Linked DNA regions of Tribolium castaneum. The protein of the gene in region 2 purifies or fractionates together with the protein of the main gene of each other region. This does not show direct contact. Links are inferred from orthologs where the notes say so. Each region holds a gene or a part of one and is shown on either strand. Other genes may lie near its edges.

What was found.
Region 1: the proteins of Sf3a1 (region 2) and Spf30 purify together in Homo sapiens (affinity purification with mass spectrometry; 3 studies listed by BioGRID and IntAct, with this or other methods). This does not show direct contact. The link is inferred for Tribolium castaneum from reciprocal best matches to the Homo sapiens genes SF3A1 and SMNDC1.

Annotation. Positions count from the first base shown.
Region 1 is NC_087399.1:319,685-322,806, forward strand, and holds Spf30 (survival of motor neuron-related-splicing factor 30), read left to right. Parts: upstream 1-1,509; 5' UTR 1,510-1,653; coding exon 1,654-2,394; 3' UTR 2,395-2,473; downstream 2,474-3,122. Other genes in the region: uncharacterized protein LOC103314146, read right to left, coding at 1-1,203; ras-related protein Rab6, read right to left, coding at 2,488-3,120. UniProt on the Homo sapiens protein: Involved in spliceosome assembly.
Region 2 is NC_087397.1:12,582,816-12,587,203, reverse strand, and holds the start of Sf3a1 (splicing factor 3A subunit 1), read left to right. Parts: upstream 1-1,517; 5' UTR 1,518-1,592; coding exon 1,593-1,686; intron 1,687-1,759; coding exon 1,760-1,924; intron 1,925-4,388. Other genes in the region: peroxidase, read right to left, coding at 437-476. UniProt on the Homo sapiens protein: Component of the 17S U2 SnRNP complex of the spliceosome, a large ribonucleoprotein complex that removes introns from transcribed pre-mRNAs.

The DNA.
Region 1 (3,122 bases), on a different chromosome or scaffold from region 2:
GTCGGCAAAAATTTTGTAGGCCTTCTGGACATCGGCTTCTTGTGCCATTTGTTTGTTTATAAGGTTGGTAATCGAACTGGAAGCCAAGATTCGTGTCTCGATCACACTTTTCCTGTGCTCTTCACTCATTTTATCCAACTCTAACATATCGTCAACGAAATTTTTCAAATCGATATTTTCATCATCCGAATTCGTATGAACCGAGACGATTTCGCAACGTTGTTGTTTCTCCACCGAATCACAGTGGGGACATGCATTTTTTTGTGGTGAATCTTTCTTGAGAAATTTTTTCCGCCGTTTCCGACTTTTACGCAAAATGAGCCGATCCAAAGAAATGAACCTGAGCCGACCTTTGCTACGTAGTGAATTAATTCGTTTGAAATTAAACTGATGCGATTTGAGCCCCCAATTAAATTTTCGGCGCTTTGTCACTTTACTCCTCAACTTGACACTTTCGACAATCTTACGAACCGAGTCCTCAAAATCAACAAATTCGCTAAATTTTGACTTTGGGGGCAATGGTAAATATTTATTGGGCGTTTCTTTTTTCTTCTTCGACTCAAAAATGTTCAAATCTTCGAATGATTTGAGGGTGGGGAAGGTGTTTATGTCGTTTTCTGAACACGTTTTTTGGTGGTTTTGGACTAAATTCTTGACTCGCTTCGATCGTCTGTTTCCGAATAACAGTTTCTTCTGTTTCTTTTCGCCAGGTTTCATTAGCTGTAAGTAACTGCAAAGTTCCTTTTTCTGGCTTTCTGGGCTTAGGGGAGTTTCAAAGTTTAAATTTCCATTGACTTTTGCTGTACATTCCTGGCTTTTTTTCTCGTCACTCAGAGCCGCTTTTTTGGCCTGTTCCATATAAGAAAACAAGGGAGTGACTCGCGTAAAACATGATTTCGGCACATTTATTGTGATTTTCTCGCTTTTATCGAAATCATAGCGGATACAAACGCTTTTATTCTCATTAGGGGGCCCCAGATCATCGTACTTGGTCGTATCTATCCATTCTTTGACTTTTTCGTAATGATTGGGGGTGTTATCAGAGTCCAAGACCTTGGACGTCCTTTTGGCACCTTTGTGGCCGTCCCAACTCACGGGAACTCGGTGTATTTCCGAACTTAGGGTTAGAACAGTCACAGGAGAATCGGTGTTTTTGGGGGAAGCGTTCAACGATGCACTCGAGAGGGAAATAACACTTGCCATTACGAAAGTTTAACGTGGTAACGATCACTTAATTTAATTGTTTAGCACACATTTGTACACCTGACTTTGGGGGGACGCTACAACCCCCCCAAAAACGTCAAACAATCAAAAAATACCAAGGGGGCTTGTTTGACGCTTTGGTGATTTTTCTGCGACAGCAGCGCCGCCAAACAAACACGTTTCTCGCCAAAACGGCCTTTTTACACATAGAAAAAATACGAAACACAATCAAGCGACTCAAAAACGTGAATTAGGGCGTATTTGTGATAATCACGATAAGTTTTTATTTTATAAGATGGTTTTTGTGACGCCTTGGTAACGTCAAAATCCCTACAAACCGTGAAAGATTGCAAATGGCCGCCGATTTATTGACGTATTGAACTTGTCAATAATTTTATTAAATAACGGCGAGTTTTTTGGTAAGTTTGTACGTTTTTTGCAACCTGAACGATGGACGAGTTGCAAAACTACCGCCTGCAATTACAACAAGTCGAAGCCGCGCTTCTGAGCGACCCCGACAACAAAGAGCTGCAAAAGCTCAAAGTGGACTTGGAGGAAGTAATTGAATTGTCCCTTGATTTGAAGAATAAGGCAGATGAGGCGGCAAATCAGCCCGAGTACACCGAACCGATTGGGGTGCCTGAAGAAGACGAGATAACCAAGTCGCTCCTGGCCGTTGAGCAGTTCGTTGCTCGTAACAAATCAAAGAAAATCTGGCGGATTGGCGACACCTGTCTCGCGAAATGGAACGATAACGGCCAATATTACGAAGCCCGTATCGATGCTATCCATCCGGACGGACAGGTAAATGTGACATTTGAAGCTTATAAAAATCGGGGGGTTTCTACCTTAGCGGAAATTAAAGAATTCACAGGAGCGAAACGAGTTCTGACTGAAGCTGAACGCTTGAAACGCATCAAAATGATGAATAACCGCGAATATCTCAAAAAGAAGAAGCTGAAGAAACAGCAGAGATTCAAAGAATTGGAGGAAGAGAGAGAAGTTGAGAAAAACAAGTGGCTGGCTTTTACGAATAAAGCCGTGAAAAACAAAAAAAGCGGACTCACTAATAAGAGTATTTTCGCGTCGCCTGATTCGGTGAACGGACGCGTGGGGATTGGCACTTGTGGGATAAGTGGCAAGCCGATGACTGAGTTTACCACAGCGGAAAAGTGGAGGAAAGGGGTTTAATTTTCTTTATGTTACTATTTTTTTAATTAAATAAATAAGATTGTATCAATTAATTATTGTAAATAAATGTTTCACAAAACGAGTTGTTCTTAATTAACAGGCGCAACTGTTGTCAATCGTAACCAAGCCATTTTTCCCCAAACTAACTTCCTGTAGTTCACTGCTATTATCACTCTTTGGTTCCTCACAAACCACCAAACTTTCAGTAATTCGCTTAAATAGCTGTTTAATGTTCAAACCAACTTTGGCGCTCGTCTCTACGAACGTGACGTTCAATTCTTTCGCTTTTTGTTCGCCCTCTTCTATACTGACTTGTCTCAAGTCCTTCAAGTCGACTTTGTTGCCGACCAGAAACACAATAACGGAGTCTCCGCGTTCCATTCGCACGTCATTAATCCATTTTGTGGTTTGGTGGAAGGTTTCAATGTTGGTCACATCAAAGACCACCACAGCCACTGAAGAGTCTCTTATGTAGGCAGGGATTAAAGAGCGGAAGCGCTCCTGACCGGCTGTGTCCCACAGTTGTAAACGCACGGTTTTGTCGGTTAAATACATTGTTTTTGATAGAAAATCGATACCGACTGTTGCCTGATAAGCGGTGTCGAAGCTGTCGTACATGAATTTCGTTATAATCGAAGTTTTTCCAACGCTTTGTTCGCCCAGAAAAACCAGTTTGTATTTTTGTAAACTGGGGTTGTAGTCTTGCGAGATTGAAAACTTTGTCATTT
Region 2 (4,388 bases):
AGGACACCACCCCACATGATGCTTCTGCGTGCTCCCTTCATCGACGACTAGAGTATTGGTTTTTAAATGGGTCACGACGCAAAAGTTATTAAAAAAAACAGTTTTGTAAATTGTATCTTTCTATAATTAAAAAAAAATATAATAATAAATAAAATCGGCGACTCTTAAAATAAATTGTTTTAAATAAATAAAAATCTAGCAAGTAACTAATGCCGCATTTTTTTAATTTAGAATGTCCCCCTTCATTTCAACCCCTTCAAATTATCAAAAAACAATTTCTAGCCCACTAGGAAATAAACCAGGCCGATGCGACTGTGGAAATTTCCGTCGCAGTTTCAAACAAAACGGAAGGAAAGCGGCCTTCCGGTATCAATCTTATAACACAAACTCACACTAATCCAACACAAAATAATCAAAAATCAAATAATTAACTCACCCATTGGAAAAATTCGATTAAAAATGAAATTTTCCCGCATATAAACAATAACAAACCACAGGTTATCAACCTTACCAACGCACAACTCCCAACTTGGAAGCGTTGGTAAAAGAGGGCAGCATAAACCACAAACGTACTGTCAAATTCTTCTGTCAATTATCTGTCTGTTTTGAAGCGTCCTCTAACGGTGTAGAGTAATTTAGCTCAAATGTTTAAACATAAATTTTTATATTTTTTTACTTTTATTATGTTTTTTAATTTATTGAACTAAATATTGATCTGTTGAAGCTGAAAACTATCAGAAGTTATAGGTACAACGTTTTTTCAAGGTTCGCTAAAATGTTAAATACTATGTTGAATATAAATTATTAGCTGTTTTAAAACTATAAAAACACCAACGTCGCATTTTACTAAATAATTTTTTTAAATAAGATTAATAAAAATGTAAAATAATTATTATTGATTAGCTTTCCCAAGTATAAATTACATTATCTATTATTTTTTTGAACTACATGAATAATTTATAACACCTAATTCAAAAAAAAATGCGACGTTAGCGTTTTTTTAGTTTTGAAACAGCTAATATATTTTATTTCAGTTTATCGCAGAATTCTGCAACAGCGCATTTGGATTTTTTGGAGTGAAATAAAGCACATATTGAAAGTTTCTTTATAAGAAAAAAATATATGTTAAGCTAAATCTCAGTAACAAATTTTGAGCCAAGAACCCAGAAACTTTCAATTTGAGCTCTACTTCACTCCAAAAAATGCAAATGCAAAATTCTACTATGAGTTGAAATGAGATATAAGCTGTTTCAAATCTATAAATTAGGTTTCATTAATCGTTCTTTTTGATCCGCAACCACAAGCGTTAGTTGTAATATAGATATTAACGTAATACATAATATTATAATACATAATAATAATACATAATATTTGTAAAAAATATAAGAAATAACTACAAAAGTAAAAAATATAAAAACAGTTTACACGCGTAAAATGTTGGTATAGAATTCTGTAAAGACCGCTTGTGGCGCCTCTAGTGGTTTGGAGTATTCATCAATTTTATTTTTTATTGCCATCTCTCTCTTCATTTTACGTTGAGCAAGCGTTTGTTAGCGTGTTTATTTAGCTTATTGTAAGAAAAAATAGTGAAAATGCCGGTTTTGGAAGCAAATAATCCAAATCCGGACGATCCCGGACCGATAAATCCAGTGGTGGGTATTATTTATCCACCACCAGAGGTGAGAAGTATCCTTTGTGAAAATTTCAGATTTGTCGGAAAATTCAGGTTAGATTGTATTTTTCCTGACAATTTGCTAAGATATCGTCGATAAAACAGCCAGTTTTGTGGCCAGAAACGGGCCAGAATTTGAGGCCAGGATCAGACAGAACGAATTAGGGAATCCGAAATTTAATTTCCTGAATCCTGGTGACCCCTACCATGCGTATTATCAGCACAAAGTCAACGATTTTCGAGAGGGGAAAGGTAAGGAACATAAAAATATATTAATCGAGTTGATCAGGTTAAAGTAGACCTATGGTTCTTTTATTAGGTTGGTCACACTGAAGAATATTTGTTCTTTAACCCGGCGTTACTCAGTTGGGGTGTGACAGACCCCAGAGTAAAAAAATGCTTTGGTTTTTTAGATAGGAATGTTATATGTATGCACCTTTCAGTAGATTGCAAAAACATTTCGAATATGATGTAATATATGATTTTCATATAATATAATATAATTTTCACCTGGCTGTTATAATATGTGTGTTGTAGCCGATTTTATGGCTCTGGGGTTTGTTACACCCCACTTACTTACGTTACTACTTTTTACCAAAAATTTTGCTCTATAAAACTAGGTAAAGATTTGACTTTTTTGAAATATTGGACTTTATGTAAAATCGAGTGTAAAATGCTTTGGTATAGTTTCAGAATAACAAACACATTCTTTGATGTGTGTGTCACACCCCACCTTAGTATTGGTGTCCTAAAAACTCACCTGAGTAACGCCGGATTAATAAAGTTTTTCAAACATTAACTAATTTTGAACACTTGTTTATAATGTGAATGTAAAGTGGAATTACTGTTTTTATGCAAAAAAAACCTTTTAGTTTACCGTTCAAGACAAATCGTTTCATTCATCATTTTTCTGCGAAAAACATTCAAGTTCAATTATAAAAAAAAATTATTCTCCTTTTTTATCATTGTTGGTATTTTCGTAGTATTATGTAGCCAAGGTCTGAAGGCGTTTCCGAGACGTAACTTTAACTTTGTAAATAAACAGTTAAGCTGTCTTATCTTTTCTCTAAACTCCATGAAAATACCAACAATTATTCAAGTTTAATGTGGTTTTCATTAAGGATCTTTTTTTTTGAAATTTTGTGAAAACTACACGTATGACATTGCTCTGGACTTCAGAATGCCAAACAAATCATTGGGTGGTATAAATAAAAATGAAGTAGATGCTAATACTACAGTCCAGTGGAGTAAAGACATGGGTGAAGTAAATGCTACTTTTTTAAGTAAATACTTTACTTTCGGGAACAAAAGACTATAGTTAAAAGTAGGCACTTCCTGTTATTAGCAGATACTTCTCCATAGTAGTATATCCCATTTCAGTTCATAGTAGAATTTTTTAACAGCGCATATGCATTTTTTAACATGAGAGTTTCTGGTGGGTTTTCTTAGCTCAAAGTGTGAATTCTTTTCTTATACAGAAACTCAATTTGGGCTTAATTTTTACTCCAAAATACTCACATCCGCTGTTGAAAAATGCAATTCTACTATGAACTGAAATTAAATATACCTACTTCGAAATATAATTAAAAAAATCAATATTTTACTTTAGACACATTACTAACAGAATCAAAAGAAAATTTGGAGTTTGAAGGAGGGCGAACAACTTCATACAGAATTTTAAAAAATATGAGTTACAGATTTCGTTTAGTTAATAGAAGAAAAATCTTTGTGAACAAAAACATGTTCTGATATCAAAAATTGTTTTTTTACGAAAATTTCTTCAGTACCAAAACTCTAAAACACTAAAAATTTTATTTTTGTATATTTGGATGAAAGGTGGATTTATCAAAATGGCAGCAATGTTCGACGGTGGGTTCACGAAGAAGACCTAAAAAGCAATCCTTCAAAAATTAAAAGTGAAGACAAAAGGTTCACTATATTATATGCGGGATGTCGGTTTGCTTTTTTGGAAGGATGTGACCTTTTAATGGATGTGGCGAATAATGACAGAGGCTATCACAAAACTATGAATGGAGAAATATTTCAAACATGGGTGATTAACCAATTAATTCCTGCTTTAGCAAAACTACCATTTAAATCTGTTGTGATAATGGATAGTGCTCCGTGTCACTCGATGCAATTGGAAAAAATGCCCACGTCGTCTTCTACCAAGGGTAAAATGTAGGTATGGTTGATTAATCATCATATAGAATTTGATTTAATACTTCACTAAAAATCAGTTGTAGGATTTAATAAAACCTTTAAAAGCAAATAATTAAAAACAGTACGTAATAGATAAAGTTTTAAATGACCATGGACATGAAGTTCTTTGATTACCCCCATATCATCGCTAGTATAACGCAATTCATTGGCATAGGGGTTTTCTAAGAACTATTATAATAAACATACAAATGAGCAACCTTTGGACAGAAATAAAGTTGCAAATCTATGGTCGGAATCACTCATAAAATGTACACCCGAAATGTGGCAAAATTTCTGTAAACACTGGGAATAATTAATTGCTTCAGATTGGACAAAACACATTGCAAATATTTCTCCATTTATTATTTCTCTAAGTGAGTCTGATTCAAAAACAGATTTTGATGTTTCAGATTCAGAAATTTAATACTTAACACTTGGAATAATTTGATGTCTAATTTGTTAAATTCTTTTTTAAAGTATTTTTTTTAATATAATTCCGCTATGTGTAAATTTC